Drosophila melanogaster: one gene and its partner. Changing the gene in region 1 together with any one later gene gives a genetic interaction. Each region holds a gene or a part of one and is shown on either strand. Other genes may lie near its edges.

The links. Genes that interact genetically often act in the same process or in processes that back each other up.
Region 2: of upd3 (region 1) and Madm, changing one suppresses a phenotype caused by changing the other (phenotypic suppression), as found in Drosophila melanogaster (one study listed by BioGRID).

What each region holds. Positions count from the first base shown.
Region 1 is NC_004354.4:18,275,658-18,284,979, forward strand, and holds upd3 (unpaired 3), read left to right. Parts: upstream 1-1,575; 5' UTR 1,576-1,945; coding exon 1,946-1,948; intron 1,949-3,776; coding exon 3,777-4,226; intron 4,227-4,328; coding exon 4,329-4,526; intron 4,527-7,739; coding exon 7,740-8,294; 3' UTR 8,295-8,939; downstream 8,940-9,322.
Region 2 is NT_033777.3:5,740,007-5,748,599, reverse strand, and holds Madm (MLF1-adaptor molecule), read right to left. Parts: upstream 6,091-8,593; 5' UTR 5,616-6,090; coding exon 4,485-5,615; intron 3,633-4,484; coding exon 2,850-3,632; 3' UTR 1,462-2,849; downstream 1-1,461. Other genes in the region: Sym (symplekin), read left to right, coding at 6,472-6,558, 6,629-6,822, 6,884-8,593. UniProt on the Drosophila melanogaster protein: May play a role in subcellular trafficking between the endoplasmic reticulum and Golgi apparatus.

The DNA.
Region 1 (9,322 bases):
TGGCAGTGGCAGTGAGCGGTACACGGTACATGGTACGCGGCAAAGCGTGAACCGTAAACGGTAAACGACAAAACGGAGACGTCGCCACTTTGGCCATGAGTAACGATGAGTGCTCAATTACTTTTCGATTGATCATGGTTTTGGCGCGCGGTGAAATTTAGACCGCCACCCCGCAGTTGCGCCTACCCCCTCTCGGCATCCGCATTCTGTCGACCGGTGGAGCGTAGTCGGCAATCATGAATGAATCGCCGTGTCTGCGAGCGTGAGAGCCCGGCTCGCGGTTGAACAAATCGTGTCGTCATTGACGGCTGTCGGCGGCCGACGGAGCGTATGAGTAATATTCTTGTGAAATTGAACGGAAATAACTGAAATTCATGCCAACCCCCATAAATTGCCGACTATTTGCGGGGGTTACTTCGGAACGGAACAAAACGGAACGGAATGGATCGTTTCGCTTCGGATCGGAAACGATCGTCTCGGAATCGAAATCGGAGAACGGGAGATCCGGAGAAACGGTGAATCGGAAGTGTGTGCCGAGTGAAAGTCATTCGATAAGAGCCAAGTAGCCGCTCATTTCGTTCCCCAGAGACCGGCAAATAGGCAAATTACACATGTTTTGTTTATCTGCGAGCGGGAGAGACAGTGAATAGCTCTCCCAGCGACCTTATCTGGTGGAGATCGGCCCAGTCGACGAATCGATCAATCACTCCACTCCAGTGCGCCGATTATGTGTCATCCCCCAAAGGGGAGCGCTGGAGAGCTGTGAGTATTTCTCATCGTGTTGAAATCTAGCTGGCCTAATCATTCACTAAACGTTTGTATTTTTCACGCCCATTACGACTGGGTAATATTGGTAATAAATCTATTATGTTCGGAATGGCCGTAATATAGAATATTTATGACATTTGTTACTAGTTCACTAACCAAATATTGGTCTCAATCGAATAGCTATTGGATGATTGTACTTGTTGTTGCCTAGTTTAGATGTTATCTCTCATATTTAGTATTATTAAAGTTAACTAAAGTTAGTTAAAGTTATACTTTTCTTCTGCTTTTTTCCATGCTTTCTTCAGCGTATCTTATTGCTCCTAGTTGCTAGTACCCTGGGTACAGGGTAACCCATTGTCCACACCCAGCCGCTATGAGTCGTTTTTGTTTTTTTTTATCGCTCAGCTGTGCTTTTTTATGGCTTTCTCGCGTTGTTTTTGGCACTCGGCGAATGTTTTGAGCGCTTTTCTTGCGATTGCACACTCATGACAGCCGAGAGAGCCTCTCCCTGTCTCTCTTCCGCTTCTTTGGCGATTCGAGCGGAGCGAACATGACCGGCGGACTGGGCGTCCGCCTCCTCATTAGTATGCTCATAGTAACTGAGGAGTTCAGTCAGTCTCCGCCGGCCACAAAAACAAAAAACTAAATATATATACACACATAACCACTGCACGCGAAAAGGCGAAAAAAAAGTGAAGAAACGCTACTGCAAAAATTGTACAAAAAAACAACGCAAAGACGGCGAGAAAGCCACTCCAATCCACTCCACAACACTCCACTCCACGCTCTCCAGCGGCAAGAAATCGACAGCGCTGTTGACTTCGACTTCGATCGAATCGGAATCAAATCATAGCAGACAGTCGAAGGCAGCGCGTCGACACTTAACGCGATAGTTCGTCCAGCCGCGATATAAAGATACAAAGATACGCAGCCAAATTCAACAAATTCAACAAATTCGACAAAGTCGCCTGATTCGCCTGATTCGCCAAATTCGCCAAATCGCGATCGCTTTTATTATTGGTTAGTTTTTTTTTTCGTTTTTTTCCCCGTTGCATTCTGGAAGCTTCTTTCCGGCAAATACACACAAAGAAAAGACTAACAGCGTTACAAAAGCAAAGTGCGTGTCAATCAAGTACGAATTTTTGTGCGGAATTCCCAGCCAACGATTTTTATGTAAATGGTAAGTACAAGTAACTACCGCAGGCGCGTATTTTTTCGGGGATTTTATATTTGCCTTTTCTGCTGCCGATAAGAGAATTCACCTGTGCGTGCTCGGTTTGTTGATAGGTACAGGTGTCTTTCGCTCGATACTTCTGAACCCGCAGAGTTCTTGCCAAGAGCTGCAATGGTCAGGTGAGGTGTCACGTACCCCACACATGATGAAATTGGCCCCAAGGAGGAGGTGTGATGGGTTTAGGGATTGGAGATGGGGATAGGGCTCACAACCGAAAGGGACCATCATCTCCAGCCTCTCATGGGGGAAACTCATTCGTGAATCACTGACACTGTTTGGTGATAGGCATTGAAAACAAGTTATAAATTCATGATGCACAATATGTTAAGTTCATTTTTCCACATGTGAATCATAGCATTTTAAAGTTATTACAATTATGAAAAACCCAAAGTTATTTGAAAACCTATGGACGTTATTTTCGGATGAGTATGACTAATCGTACAGGGGCGACTTGCATTTATTTGCTATTACTATTCTAACTTATTGGGAACTTATTGTTCCATTCAACCACACAACTTATGCAACTAACTTAATAGTTATTGCAACTGTAAAAAAAAACCCTTTTGACGAAAAATGGCCAAAAAAAGAGCGAAACATGTGAAATTAATTTACACGTTTCGTGCCGCGGGGGTGGTGGTGCCAGTGGTGCTGGTGGTGCTGGTGGTGCTGGTGGTGCTGGTGGTGCTGGTGGTGCTGGTGTTGCTGGTGTTTGGCAGGAATTGAAGATTGGATGCGTCAGCGGTTGTCACTACAAGCGTTAGCGATTCGGCACAGACAGGAGGACAAGGTCCGGGCAAAGGGACCGCGATAAAGAGCCGGAGAGCGAAAACGCACGGCAAGAGAGAGTGAATTTCACAAAAGTTTGCAAGACCAATGTTTCGTTGACCATGCTGCTCGATGTGTAGGAGGCGTGTGGAGCGATTGGAGCCTACCCCACCAGACAATATGAGATAGCACCGCCACCGCCAGTGCGGTGGCACCACTATCACCACTACCTTTGCAAGTCGACCTCCACCCGACACACGATGATTCATGATAATTTGGCTAAATAAAGAAATTTATTTTTAATTTGAAATAATTATTTCAGCCAGATAAAGACGGCACTAGCAATGGCCGTAGCTGTAGCTAAAGCGCAAACGATAATAATAACAAATCGCGCATGCTTCGGGCCCCCCAAACAATTGCGATTATATTTATATGTGTGCGTATGGGTTTGCGCATAAGTGCGTCCAGCGGGAATCCCCAAGCAGCCAACAATCATCATAATTCGCCCACTCAGGCACTAACACACACAAAATAACACAAAACAATCGCACCACAATCACACATCCGTACCATCACGTGCGCGAATTTTGGTTTATATTTGGCAAAAGTTGGCCAAGATAATATATAACCAGTCGGTTCAGTTCAGTTGTCCGCGCAGCGTCCGTTAGTCTTGACTTATGGTAATTGGTCCCTCGGCAGGGGGAATACATTTGGCCAACCGAACCCTCTTTTCGGCCAAAGTTTGAGTATGTAAATAACTGAAAATCGAACATACGTATTTGATTTTTTTTTTTTTTTTTTTTTTTTGGTAACTAATAATAGTATAACCTGTTGCTAGACTTTTCTCATGCTAAACACCGACGACGTCTGACGAAGATGTGACGTCAAGAAGTCGTAGTGAAACTCGAGCCATTATGGGTGGGAAAAAAATGAAACTGTGTTATCTTGAGGGCTTTGCGTGTTTGTATAAATTTTGTTTAGCTTATTTCGGAACTTTTTCCATCCACAGACGACAGCTGACCGCCCGCTCGACGTCAGCAGGAGCAGCGGAAGCGGTAGCCGGAGCGGTAACAAAACGGCCAGAACCAGGAATCCAGTGGAACCGCAGCCGCAACCGCCGTTCGTGGATCGACGACGACGCCTGAACAGGAACTGGTCACTGATCTTACTCGCCTTGGCCATGTCCCAGTTTGCCCTCTCCGGCGGCGGTTGTGGCGTCTCAGCGGCGCCCAGTCACCTGGCCACCCCGCCCACTGACAGCCCCTCCAGTCCCATCAATCCCACCAATCCCCTGAAGCACCTACAGAAGCGTTCCAGAGCGGCCAACTTCCGGCTGACCTTCCAGCAGAAATTGAATGCCAGCAGTACGCATCTGGACTGGGAGAACACCTGCAATCTGAAGCCCACGGGTCTGAACGAAACGCACAGCAAGGCGAAACGCTGCAAGAAACGCCAAAGGGTAAGTTTCAAGCGAAAGTTGGCTCTTAGCTGATAAATAAATTGGCACAACTAATTCACACACTATTATCTATATGTATATATGTATTTGTATCTATTTCAGATCCTGCAGAATCTACAGAACCAAACGGGCCGCGAGCTGCGGGGCATCCAGGCCGAGGACAAGGCCAGGATCACCACCAATGCGGACAAGCTGGCCACAGTGAGCACCAAGACTCTGGACATTGTCGAGAAGAACAAGTGGCGATTCTATAAGGGAAACTACAGATTCCTGCCCCGTCTGAATCTCACTAGCAAACAGGTGAGTGTCGTCCATATGCCATAAGCATAATATATGTATGCATATATCGTCATGTGAAGAACTACTGGATCATTTACAAACATCAAACACTCGCGGGGGGTTCTTCTGTTGCCAGGGAGCTTGAGGTGATAAAAAAGAGGGTCACGTGAGGCGTTCGCCCCGTTCACCTGCGTAGGTGCAAACAGGCCGTCACAAGCTAATGGCGAGTGGAGCGGTCATATGAGTCCGAATCCGAGGGAATCGTGCCGCCAGCCGCGAGAGTTGTTGCCATAGTTTGTTTGCGTGATTAAGGGAATTTATCAATCTATATAGAGGGGTATGAAGGAAACTAAGGAAATAAAGATTGAGATATGTATATAGTTCATATGTGCTAGCTTGATGATGGAGTTGTTTTGACAACACTTCCAACAGCAACTTGCATTGAGCACTTAAGTGCCGCCAACTTTTCGATCGCACCTCGTTCGTTTTGTCAGCATTAGCCGGCATTTCGGGACGCCCCATTAACCGTCGATTTGCATTGGTAGCAAACAACAACAGCACGAGGGAAAACATTAGCAATCGATGCCATAACCACATTAAGATTAAGAGCAAATTGACGGCGCGCGCGCTTTTTTTTTCGATTATTGTTTATATAGATCCATCGCGATCCCCCCCAAACCGGCCTTGATCCAGCGATCACGTTTTATGGCCAATCCGTAGATTGGATCGATCCGAATTGAGGCTGAAGCTGAAGCTGAAGCTGTATCTGAATCTGAAAACGAAGTTCAATCCGAATCTCAATTCGTATCTGAAGTGGATAATTTGTTGAATAAACAAAATAAAATCAAGCGGCACATTTTATTTACACTTTTGACAAGTAAACAACAACAAACAGAAGCTAATCAAATTTCGAATTGGATTCGCCACGGACATCTGAATTATGGCGAGAGGAAAATTATGGAGCTTTTCAATTTCGAGACCCTCGAGTTGCGGACAGTTTGATGTTAATAGAGTGGAACCGTTTAGTAATGCCAAATTGTCGGGGTCTGGGAATTCGGAAATATTTTCGCACTGACACGGTGAAATGAGCAAGACCAGTTGAGGAAAAACCCGGAGTGACCGATAGGCCAGTGAATAATGGAAGTAATGGAAGTAATATAGAATGTGGGCTCCGGAATGTGGATGGCGGTACTTGCGAAATGATTGCCACGGAGTACCAGTCGATACGTGACCAAGTATGACAAACGCCGTGCACTAGAAAGGGTCTAGTCCACATTTCAATGAGGTGGATGTCGCTTCGTGAATCGGTCGAGATCGGCTTGGTTGCCCCAACGTGCTAATTCCTTGGTGTCCGGGAAAGTTTCGTATAGGACAGTAATATCTGCAGATAACCAGATGAGTGTAGTTCACTTGGCGTGGCCATAAACAGATACTTTTATGAGATCGCAGGTGCGGCGAAAAATCTCAAGTGTGGTCAAGATCCGCGAAAACCGCCGACTCACTTCGAGTCAGCCAAAAGTCGCGTTCAGAGTGCAAGTGGAGTCTCAAAGGTCGCCACCCCCTGGGAATTTGGTTTTTATTTTTTTTTTTAATTACCCGTTCTGCTAAACTTAGCCAGTCCCATCATAGTTGCCATTCCATTTCATCCATTCATTCACTTAGCCAGCGATTCCACTCAATCGTCTATTCAGGGCGATGAGCAAAGTTTGGCTTTCGCTGAAATTTCTCAATTGTCGTCATAGTCTGGGAAAAGTACCTGGGCCTCGCGGATCACACTGTGAGAAAATGAGGGTAACAATTGACTGCCTTCGCTGCTTATAAGTACTCTTTCGTGTTGAGTTTTTCAGTAGATACCTTTGATCACACACTACTCGATTCGACCAGTCGATCCACCTTTTCTCACTCTGCACCAAGCTCGGGAACTTGCCGCTCGGGATGTGTGTCAATATTTGGCCAATATCGGCTACGTCAATGCCAATTGTGCCAACTAATTGTTGACATCCCCGGAACAGAGTGAAACGGAACCCCCAGATCGGAACCCGATCCGACGACGAGGTGGCAAACGGGACTGATAGAAGAACTCTATATTTAGATGGATCGTTTCGATACCGAGAATCGACGGCCTTTTGACGTCATGCATTCGCTCATACCCACCCAAAAAAAAAAAGGAAAACAACGAATTCGCTGATACCGCAGCGGATCGGTTCGGAAGAAGAAATGACCTTAACGATAATATGTTTGAGTAGTTCACAACGCTCGTTTATTGCAAATGACACACACACGCCGTTTGTGGTCGTTGATCGGGGGGATACGGGGCGCGGAGCGTATACGCGATATGTGATTCATATGAAACAGAGCCGTGGATTCCCCCGAAACTCCAGCGAGAGCGAGCGGGAGCGGGAGCGGGAGCGGGAAAGGGTGAGCGGCGGCATGCGGCGAGCGCGACATGAATGAAACGAAGAGCCAACGTCGACGTCACGAGCGGCCAGCCGAAGCGTAGCCGAGAACTCAAAAAACAGTTACGAGAGAGCGGCGCGAGCGTTCGGCTTGATTTTCACTTTCAGCCGCCGGCCAGATAAGTTTCTGGTCGTTGGGATGAGGGGAGTGTGTGTGCGATGGGAGGGGGGGGGGGGGGGGGTCCGCAAAGGGGCTGGTGGGCTCAGTTCACTCAACCCAAAAAATTCGAACTATAGGATCGACTATATACACCATATGCGATATGGATATCGCAATTTCCGCCAAGGTTTCGCCGTTTCTAATACTTTAATTTTACAATTGGGGATTTTTATTGCAAGCGAGTGCAGAAAAAGGTTTATTCAATAAAGATAACCCCGACCTTCATTCATGGCGATACAAGTAATTAAGGCGTTAAATACTTAAAAATATCATACTTTGCCATATAATTGTTTTATTTTCAATTCTATGCTGATATAATCAAGGATTATGGAGTTGATCTCCAATATGGGTTGGGGTAACTATGATGATTAAGTTGGGAATATATAAGTTTACAAGTTCATGGACAGTTAATGATATAAATAGAGCACTTAATTTAATCTAAAAACTAGTATATATAAAATGGGTGTACAAATATGAATCCATAGATTCTTATCAACAGAGAACCTCTCATTGCAGATCAAAGTTATCAATTAGTCATGTTCCCATTCATAGTATTCATATTTCTTGACAAATCAATTTAACTAACCCGCTTCCAATCTTTTTCCTTGCCCATTCCAGTTGAACCTTCGCCACGCCCATCGCGACCTGCAGATTTACGTGGGCGCCTTCACGTACATGCGCAACATCAAGTTGCACTGGGACCTGGCCAACCTGCAGGCGAAGAGCGTGCTCTCCGACGAGCTGGGAAGGATGCGGAAGTCCGCCCGCGAGGTGCTCTGCAGCGTGGAGGAGGCCATCAACCTGACCAACCTGCTGTACACACCCAACAGGCAGCGGGCGCCACAGCCGAGGGGCCAGAAGAAGCGGCGCCAGGCCCAACCGGTGGTCACCTACAAGATACTGCCGCGCAAGCTGATGGAGAAGCGTCTGCAGCAGTTCAACTCGACGTTGGTGCCACTCGTGGAGCTGCACCAGCAGGCGACCTTGGCCGCACGCGGGGAGGATGTACCACCACCGCCCGACGACCTGATGGTCCTGGAGCAGCACGCCCTCTTCACCAAACTGAAGTTTGTGCAGTATCTCAAGAGTATCCGCAAGATACTCGCGAACCAGCGTAAGAGTCTGTGCAAGGCGACCACCCACGTGCCAAAGGCGATCCAGAAGAAACTCTAGACGAGAGCAGAGAGCAGAGAGTAGAAAGTAGAAAGTAGCTATAGCCAAGAGCTCAGAACCGGCGAAACCTCCATTCCACACAACGAGGCTCATTCCATGAAGACATCCTTAATTTATTAAACATCCAATATTTATTACTCACGCCACGCCACACCAGTCACGACAAATCACGAGGAATCCCCGACAATCACAAGGCTATGAAAAACCGAATAAGTAATGTGAACAATCCACCACAGACGTGAATTTGAGATACCCAGTTTTCTCGATATTCTAACACGATAGTAATGTTTTCTCCGACTAAATTTATTATTATTATTTTTTTTTTTTTTTTTTGATAGCTTTAAGTCCCATTGTATTATTTATTATTGCAACTCGCCAACAATCTGCCGCACATTCCGCTAGATACTAAGTATACTAGATATACTTTGCCTTGTATTACGATGCTGTGATAGTAGATGATTAAAGTAAACACAACGCTCCGCGACGGCCACAAGCTATATATCTCCCCCGACTATATTTACACACTGATATATGTATGTACGATTTACACCTCTATGTAACTTAGCTTTGATTAGGAATTAACATTTTAGACATCAAATACAAACACAAATATACAAATATACAAATACAAACCATTGAAAGTACAAATGCATCGAGAGTTTATCTGCGGATTGGGTGGTCCTCTCCTGGCGCCATATCAATTACACTCATGTGTGGGGGTATAGTATATACGAGATATATTCCCACCGAAATTGCGCATACGCACCGTGCTGGATGAGATGTAAGAGAGACATAAAAGTGTCCAAACAATTCCCCTTTACGATCGTCGCCGTGGCTTTAATTGCAGCAGAATTACGCGGCATTTATAGACTTGTTCAAATATTTTATGAGCCATATAATAATTCTCTCCCCTGGGTTTTGGGTTTGGGTTTTTGGCTTGGGTCGGGATCGGGATCGGGATCGGAATCGGAATCGAGGTCGTAGTCGTAGTCGGAGTTGGAGTCGGGGTCACCTTTGTCCCTTTTTGT
Region 2 (8,593 bases), on another chromosome or scaffold:
GTACCGTCTGAAGTTTCATTTGACTGTTTCATGCCGCTGCACGCGTTACGGCTTTCAATAGCGTCTAACGTAACAAGTCGATCATTGAGGAACTGTTGCAGATCTTTGTATGAAGGAACGTCAATCTTGCTGCCCAGATGATGCTCCCAAGCTGTGTGAGTGTCTTTGGGTAGTTTGGTTGTTAGATAATGAGTCAACCAAAAATCTCCTCCCTGTAGTGGCGCCTTGACGGTATTGCAAGCGGCAATGCAGACGTTGACTGTACTAACCATAGACCGTATGTCAGCAGATTTTTCTTTCGAAAGATTCGGTAAGTTGTAGAGCATGTTCATGTGGCTGGCGAACACAATTCGTGGGTTGTTATATCGTTGTAGAAGTGTGGTCCAAGCGACTTCATAGTTTGCTTCAGTTAAAGCGATTTGGCGAATGTCGTTGTCCAGGCCTACTGGTAATGCTTCCTTTAAAAAATGGAACCTTTGAATCTTATCCAGACGCTCATTATTGTGAATTAAGCGTAAAAATGCATCATGAAAACTTGGCCAGTCCGCGCAGTTGCCAGAGAATTTCGGAACTGGTAATTTTGGCAGTGGTATCCGTACTTCCTCTACATGTGTTGTTATTGTAGAGTTAGCTGATTCGTTGTGCGTCACTGTGCCTGGATAAATTCGTTTCTTTTCTTCGGCCACGAAACAGTAAACTTCCATGCCCAGGTCTTCGAATTGGCTGATTGTATTTTGTTGCTTATACACACTTTCTTCGTAGTCTGCCATGCATATAAGTGTGTGATGCGCCTGATGAAATTCTTTGTTAAACTCGTCGATTTGATTCAAACGTTTTTCGAAATATATTTCCGTTTTCCGCGCACTCGAGTCTTTTTTCACATTACTGAACAAGCGCTTCAAAGACTCAATGCGGTCAGTTTGAACTCGCACCAGTTGATCAAATTTCGACATTGTTTATACTGACGTTGCTCCACTGTATGTAATATGCACAAATGCTCGTATGTTATCGGTGTTCTTCTTTGACGTCTTGTTTTTTTGAGTTGGCAGAGATTCCGGCAAATCTAACGGAATCGAAGGGCAACGGGACTTAGCTCTGTCGTGATGAGAGCGAGCGCGAATGTTTGCGTATACTGCTCTGTCGTGATGAGAGCGAGCGCGATAGAAAACGTAGGCACGGTGATTTATCTGGATGAAGCCGACCACGAAGATAAAATTGCCAAACAGCTTTTAGCAATTATTAATTATGATTCTTATGAGCAAGGTTCCCCTCATGGGCCACCAATGAATAGTTGTGATGCCTCACTGCTTTGACATCATTGTAATGGGGTTCGCAAATAAGAATCATATATACACTATTTAACTTCATTTATTTTTTCATATACAAAAATCACGTCTGATCGCTATGACCGCAAAATTACAAGAGCGAAAGAAAGAATACAGTTCAGTTCAATTAGCATCGATATATAAAATGTTAATCCGCTGTTAAGACAGCTGAAGCACCGGGTGACTCCGCTCATAATCCGTACACCTCGTAAAAACAAATTTGAAATGGTGAGTAATTCATATGTCCGTGGGTCTTAAATGGCTTTTTGTCACCTTACGGGATTTAATTTCAATATAGCTTTAGCACATTCTCAGAAAATAATAAATCAAAAGAAAACTAAAATCTGATTATCTGCCCCTATTCTAATTTAACTCGACTAGCTTAGAAAACAAAGAAAAAGACTTTGTATTTAGTCAGCTGGTTGCCATCTTTATTTGTTTAATAGTAGTGTAGCTATGTCTGTTGTGTATTTTTTTGTTGCATGCTCTGCTTGTGTTTTCATAGTTTTTAGTTTAATAATTTAGTTATTATTTTTCGTGGCCTTGCGTATTTGTTTATATTTGTAATACATTTAAATACATTCCACAGCGGTTTTAGGGTTTGTTCTCGCGACATGGCTAGCTTATGAAATTTGATAATGTCCTAGAAAAAATGATCCTTACATTGGCGTCCAGATGTTCGTTTATCGAAATCTAATGTGTCTGGGTTTTCGTATTCGAATCTTGTCTAGCCGCAGCTAGTCGGAGCTGCGAATTCCATTCGTGCTCGTTTCAGAGTTGTGCTAAGCGAATGCTTTGGTTTTTGTCAAGCTCGCTAGCAGCTTTTTTCAAAAGTTTGTGTCGAGGTGTCGCAGTGGATCGAGGTTTCAATTGGGACATGAGTCGAAACAATTCCTAGCAAATTTACCAAAGAAACTAAAGGACTAATAACATTGTTTTTAGCAGGCATGGAAACAAACGAATCGTTTTGAACCATGTTTGGTACTTTCCGCGTACGATTTCGAGCTAAATTATTGTTATACAGTATAATTCGCTTAGCTGCCTCGAGTACTTTGCACAATGCCTCGATGCAGGTAACTTAAAAATGCAGCTAACTTAATTTTTTTTTTTCTATTTTCTATTTTCTATTCACACAAAAAAATGGAAAAATAATGCAGATATCTTGCCGATGCAGCTAACTATCGATGCAGCTAAGCGAATTATACTGTACTTATAGTTTCTCTAAGACATGTCGCTAAGTGTTCCTGCGATTTTGAATGTTCATCGTGCTCGCGAGAGGCGACCCACCTTTGTCTGCCGCGTGTCCCACGTCATCGAAATCTTTAGCCTGGAAGCCTGGTTCAACATCGTTTATGATACATACATACATAAATATTATTTCAAATACATACATACATATACACATATATATAGGTATATATATAAAAATAACAAATAATAGTATTAATAAAATCGTAATGTGTAATTTCCCAATATAATAAAAACAATACGCGCCGGCATGCCCTGAATACTAAGCTGATACTTTCAATTGCTCGTCGTGCCCGAGTGTTCTACGTCGACGTCCCCGTCCGCGTTCTGCTGCTCCTGCGGTACATACATCACGGCAGTGCCCTGCTTGTCTGCATCCGAGGATATCGACCAGTTGCGCTCCAGCTGCTCCAAGGCCGCCATGGTCGCCGTGGTCGTCACCCCCGCACCGGAGCTCTCTGCCCCGGCACCGTCGCTCATAACGCCCGCTTTAAGCGTTTCCTCCAGCAGCACCTGGATCTTGTCCTGGTCGTCGAGGTGGACGAAACCGAGGCGCACCAGTTCGCTGGTGAGATCCGCCGCCGTATCGTTCTCGTTCACCTGGCATGTCAGTTGGCGGTTCATCTTGTCGTCCATGCGCAGCAGTATTGTCATGGTTATGTCATTGCTATCCTCTTTGATTTTAACGCTGCACATCATGTTAACGATGCGCCGCGACTCCGTGTCCACAGGCTCCGGCGTGGCCGATTTTACGGAGTCAGCCCGTTCCGGGGAGGCGGCCCGGGAACGGAAGTTGGGCGGCTTCTTGCCGCTGTACGTAATTAGCGGATACACACCATACTTCACGTCCTCGACGAACTTTTCCAGCTTATCGGCGCCTGAAACGTCTGCGAGTCGGTACTGCCGCTCCTGGCCGCCGGCCAGCCGCAGCTGGGCCATAACCACGTCCGGCTGGTAGTATCGCTGCATGAGGCCGTCGAAGGCGGTTTCCGAGAACATAGTGCGGTTGGCGGGCGAGAAGACCAGGCAATGGGCAGTCAGCAGTTTGAGGGAGTGCACCTGTAGTAATAGCAGCAAAAAATTGATTATTAACTACTGAGTTTTTCAGTTAATTACCTTTATAAAAGTGTTATAAGAATACCTTGCAATGTCATTTGAACCATGTACAAATTTATATTTTAAAGTCAACAAGAGCGAACGCTACACTGTTTTTCTCGAATATCAGACTCAAGTTGAAGTGCAAACGAGAAGTTTCCACACTTTAAAATGGCATACCAATGGATATTGACAAGACAAATAAGACCAAAGTATCGGCGTGGCAGTTCTATGGGGTTTCCGTTGGAGTGGACGATTCTAATGAAGAATCGCTAACAATATAGGGCTGAAAACGATTCCTTCTACCCGTTAATTTCCTCTTAACGAATATAGTAACAGGTATGAAAATAAAACAACAGACCCTCAGTAATCAAAATAAAATGTATAGTTACATATTAACCACAACTTGAACTTAAGATATAAGTGACTGTGAGCAATAAATAATATACTACAGTCAAAATGGATTGTAGAATTATCAACTGATTACTAGTTCTCCTTCCATTTATATACATATATATATAATATACACATGAATATAATATATTAAATTCTAAGATAATTTACGATATGATTCGGATAAAACCAAATTTAGAACTTAAATATTTAACGGTGCATTTAAATCATATAATTATTCAAATCTTCAGATTTCAATTATTTACTTAAAATAAAATTTAATAATATCAGGTGTCTTATTAAACTAAATCTCTCACTCGATGGATCCGAGAATTAGAATGCAAGGTCTAGTTGACAAGGCAATTGTTATGCGGGTCTTGAATTTATAGCATTTAGAACAAGATAATTGACTTGAAAACTCACCTCGAAAAGCAATGGGTGAAAGAGCAGATCATTGGCGCTGGGTCGGTCCTGCGGCTGCGGGTTGAGACACTTTCGTATCAGGTCGCGCTGCAGATCGTTTTCCAGGCTAAAGATTGTGCGCTGGATGGTCTCCTCGTTGATGGCAGTTGACTCGCTGTTACTGGGCTGGATTTCCAGGGCGGCCATCTCCAGGGCACACATCCCGAAGGCGTAGATGTCGAGGGCGGCGGTCAACTGGTCGGCGGCGCCGTACTCGGGCGCCTGGAAGTAGTGGGCGCCTCGTTCGCGTTCACGCTCCCGCTCTCGGCCGCGCCGGACGCTGTAGTGGACCGCGTCCGGGACCACCGAGCCGATCTTGACCAGGCCGTTGTGCTGGATGAAGATGCTATCACAGGTTAAATTGCCGTGGATGATGGGCGGCGAGCAGGAATGCAAATAGCTGAGTGCGGACAAAATCTGAGTGCACCACCGGCGCCACGACTCCAGCGGTAGCCGCTTGGCGTTGCGCTTGGTGCGCTTGAGGAACTGTTTCAGCGATCCGCTCGACATGTACTCGGTGATAAAGACCACCCTGGGTCGCTCGGCCTGCTGCGTGTCCGTCCAGTAGCGGTGGAACTTGACAATGTTTTGGTGGTCCAGCTGCAGCAGATTGTCGAACACCTGCCGCATCTTCTCCTCCTGCGACTTCAGCTCCTGTAGGCTGGCATATTGCACCTCATTCCACACGACCTCTACGCCCTCCTCGGTGTCCATGGCCAGATGGACGCAGTCAATACCGGGTACGTCACGCTGATCCACCTCCTCGCGTCGCTTCAGCCAGCGTCCACATGGCGACTCCTCCAAAATCTCGCTCTCATCCTCCGAATCGTCCCCGGACTCGCGTGGCGACGAGTCCAGATTGACGCCCTCGCTGCCAGCTACGACGCCGACGCCGACCGCAGCGCTGCTGCCCGCATCAGCTGTTGAGGCACTAACTATGTGCGGCGGGGGCTGCTGCGTCGACTGCGACGGCGGGGTCGCTGCTGGGCAGGATGCACTTACGGGGCCGGCCGCCAAGGAAGGGTGGTGCTGGATGGGTTCATCCGCTACCGTGCTACCGCTGATGCCGGCATTCGCTTGGCTATTTGACATTAGGGTGCGGTCACCGACGCGGCTGCGGCTGTTGAGCAGTGCTGTTCCAGTTCCAGAAGGCCTCGTCGTCTTCGGTTTCCAGTGTTTATTTTCTTTGTTGGACTGCCTACGTTTGCGCTAGCTTTTCGTGGTATCCACTACGGGGTCCGGGCAACGAGCTACATCCGCCGCTGCTCCTCTGCCGCTGCCTCTGCCCCACTCACTGGCGCACACATACACACGCACGCGCCCACACAGCTCATCCACTGCACCCCTCGCCCAGTAAACACTCCGCTGCGACGGCTGGCGGTTGCTGGGACGTTTTTCGGCACCTTCGACGGCGTCTTCTGTTCCAATCCTCGACTGCGTCGCGAACTGCGATCCGTTTGTTGCACTTTCTGGCCTGACACGCTGCCGATTCGTTTATTTAGGCGTTTTTTTCACGCTAAAACACCCAAGAAATGTGAGCAAATCGATGCCTCTGGCTTATCGATAGTCACCCCCGCATATCGCTCGGCCAGCGCAACTGCGGCATGCTCATCGATAATAACGCGTTAAGCTGAGATATGCCAAAAATGGCTTAATTTATGTGATTTATTAATTTTTTATACGGTAACGAGCAAGGAAAATTAGTTTGCAGGCGGTTCATTTGATTATAAGCCAAGTTTTTAGTAAAATATTCTTTTTCTTTTGAACACATTAAGAGCTGGCAAAAAATAGCTAGATGGTCCGGAAATATGCAGAATTACCAACATCATAGAACCGTTTTCGATAGTTTCTCAATGGTACCGATAACACCTTGCCATCCGTGCCGGCAGCTCTTAAAAATATCCGAAGTATCGCAGATTTAGGCAAAATCTGCATCAATTAACCAAACATGGATAGCATAATTGGACGCAGCCAGTTTGTCTCGGAGACGGCCAATCTGTTCACAGACGAGAAGACAGCTACGGCAAGAGCTAAGGTAGAACACAAATCTTAATCAGACAAGACAGTCCGGACTGCTGTATTGTACCATATATTTTCCCATTCAGGTGGTCGATTGGTGCAATGAGCTGGTCATCGCATCGCCTTCGACAAAGTGCGAACTGCTGGCTAAGGTGCAGGAGACTGTGCTTGGATCGTGCGCGGAGCTGGCCGAAGAATTCCTGGAGTCCGTGCTGTCTTTGGCCCACGACTCAAACATGGAGGTTCGCAAGCAGGTAGTCGCCTTCGTAGAGCAAGTTTGGTAAGGATTTCCATCAAAGGATCTAACTTCTTGCTGAAACGATTTATATTTTCCATCCCAGTAAAGTGAAGGTGGAGTTACTGCCCCATGTCATTAACGTCGTGTCTATGCTGCTTAGGGATAACTCGGCTCAGGTAATCAAAAGAGTGATCCAAGCCTGCGGTAGCATCTACAAGAATGGATTGCAGTACTTGTGCAGCCTCATGGAGCCCGGCGACAGTGCGGAGCAGGCGTGGAACATCCTCAGCTTAATCAAGGCGCAAATACTGGACATGATCGACAATGAAAACGACGGCATACGTACAAATGCCATTAAGTTCTTGGAGGGCGTCGTGGTTCTGCAGAGCTTTGCTGACGAGGACAGTCTGAAACGAGATGGAGACTTCTCGCTGGCAGATGTCCCCGATCACTGCACACTATTCCGCCGTGAAAAGTTGCAAGAGGAGGGCAACAATATTTTAGATATCTTGCTTCAGTTCCACGGAACAACGCATATTTCCTCAGTGAACTTGATTGCCTGCACAAGCAGCTTGTGTACAATTGCCAAAATGCGACCCATTTTCATGGGCGCCGTGGTGGAAGCCTTTAAGCAGCTGAATGCCAACCTGCCGCCCACCCTCACTGACTCGCAAGTAAGCTCCGTGCGTAAGAGCCTTAAGATGCAGTTGCAGACATTGCTGAAGAACCGCGGTGCCTTTGAGTTTGCAAGCACTATCCGAGGAATGTTAGTTGATCTGGGGTCCTCCACAAATGAGATCCAGAAGCTTATTCCCAAAATGGACAAACAGGAAATGGCTCGTAGACAAAAACGCATCCTCGAAAATGCTGCGCAAAGTCTTGCAAAGCGTGCGCGCTTGGCCTGTGAGCAGCAGGATCAGCAGCAGCGAGAAATGGAGCTAGACACTGAGGAATTGGAACGACAGAAACAGAAGTCTACTCGAGTTAACGAAAAGTTTCTGGCAGAGCATTTCCGTAATCCTGAAACTGTTGTGACCCTGGTGCTGGAGTTCCTGCCCAGTCTGCCCACTGAGGTGCCACAAAAGTTCCTTCAGGAATATACACCCATTCGCGAAATGTCTATTCAGCAGCAGGTAACCAATATCTCCAGATTTTTTGGCGAACAACTATCTGAAAAGCGCCTAGGCCCAGGTGCCGCAACCTTCAGTCGAGAGCCGCCAATGCGGGTTAAGAAAGTGCAAGCGATTGAATCAACACTAACTGCAATGGAAGTGGACGAGGATGCTGTTCAAAAACTGAGTGAGGAAGAGTTTCAGCGTAAGGAGGAAGCAACCAAGAAGCTGCGCGAGACCATGGAGCGCGCCAAGGGTGAGCAGACTGTTATTGAAAAGATGAAGGAGCGCGCCAAGACGCTGAAGCTGCAGGAGATCACCAAGCCTCTGCCACGCAACTTAAAAGAGAAGTTCCTAACTGATGCAGTGCGTCGCATCCTCAACTCGGAGCGGCAATGCATTAAGGGAGGAGTGTCATCAAAGCGCCGTAAGCTGGTCACCGTGATTGCTGCCACCTTTCCCGATAACGTACGTTACGGCATCATGGAGTTCATCCTGGAGGATATAAAACAGCGTATCGATTTGGCATTTTCCTGGCTCTTTGAGGAGTACTCTCTGCTGCAAGGATTTACAAGGCACACTTATGTTAAGACAGAGAACAGACCCGATCACGCCTACAACGAGTTGCTGAATAAGCTTATCTTCGGCATTGGAGAGCGTTGCGATCACAAGGATAAGATTATTTTGATTCGTCGAGTATA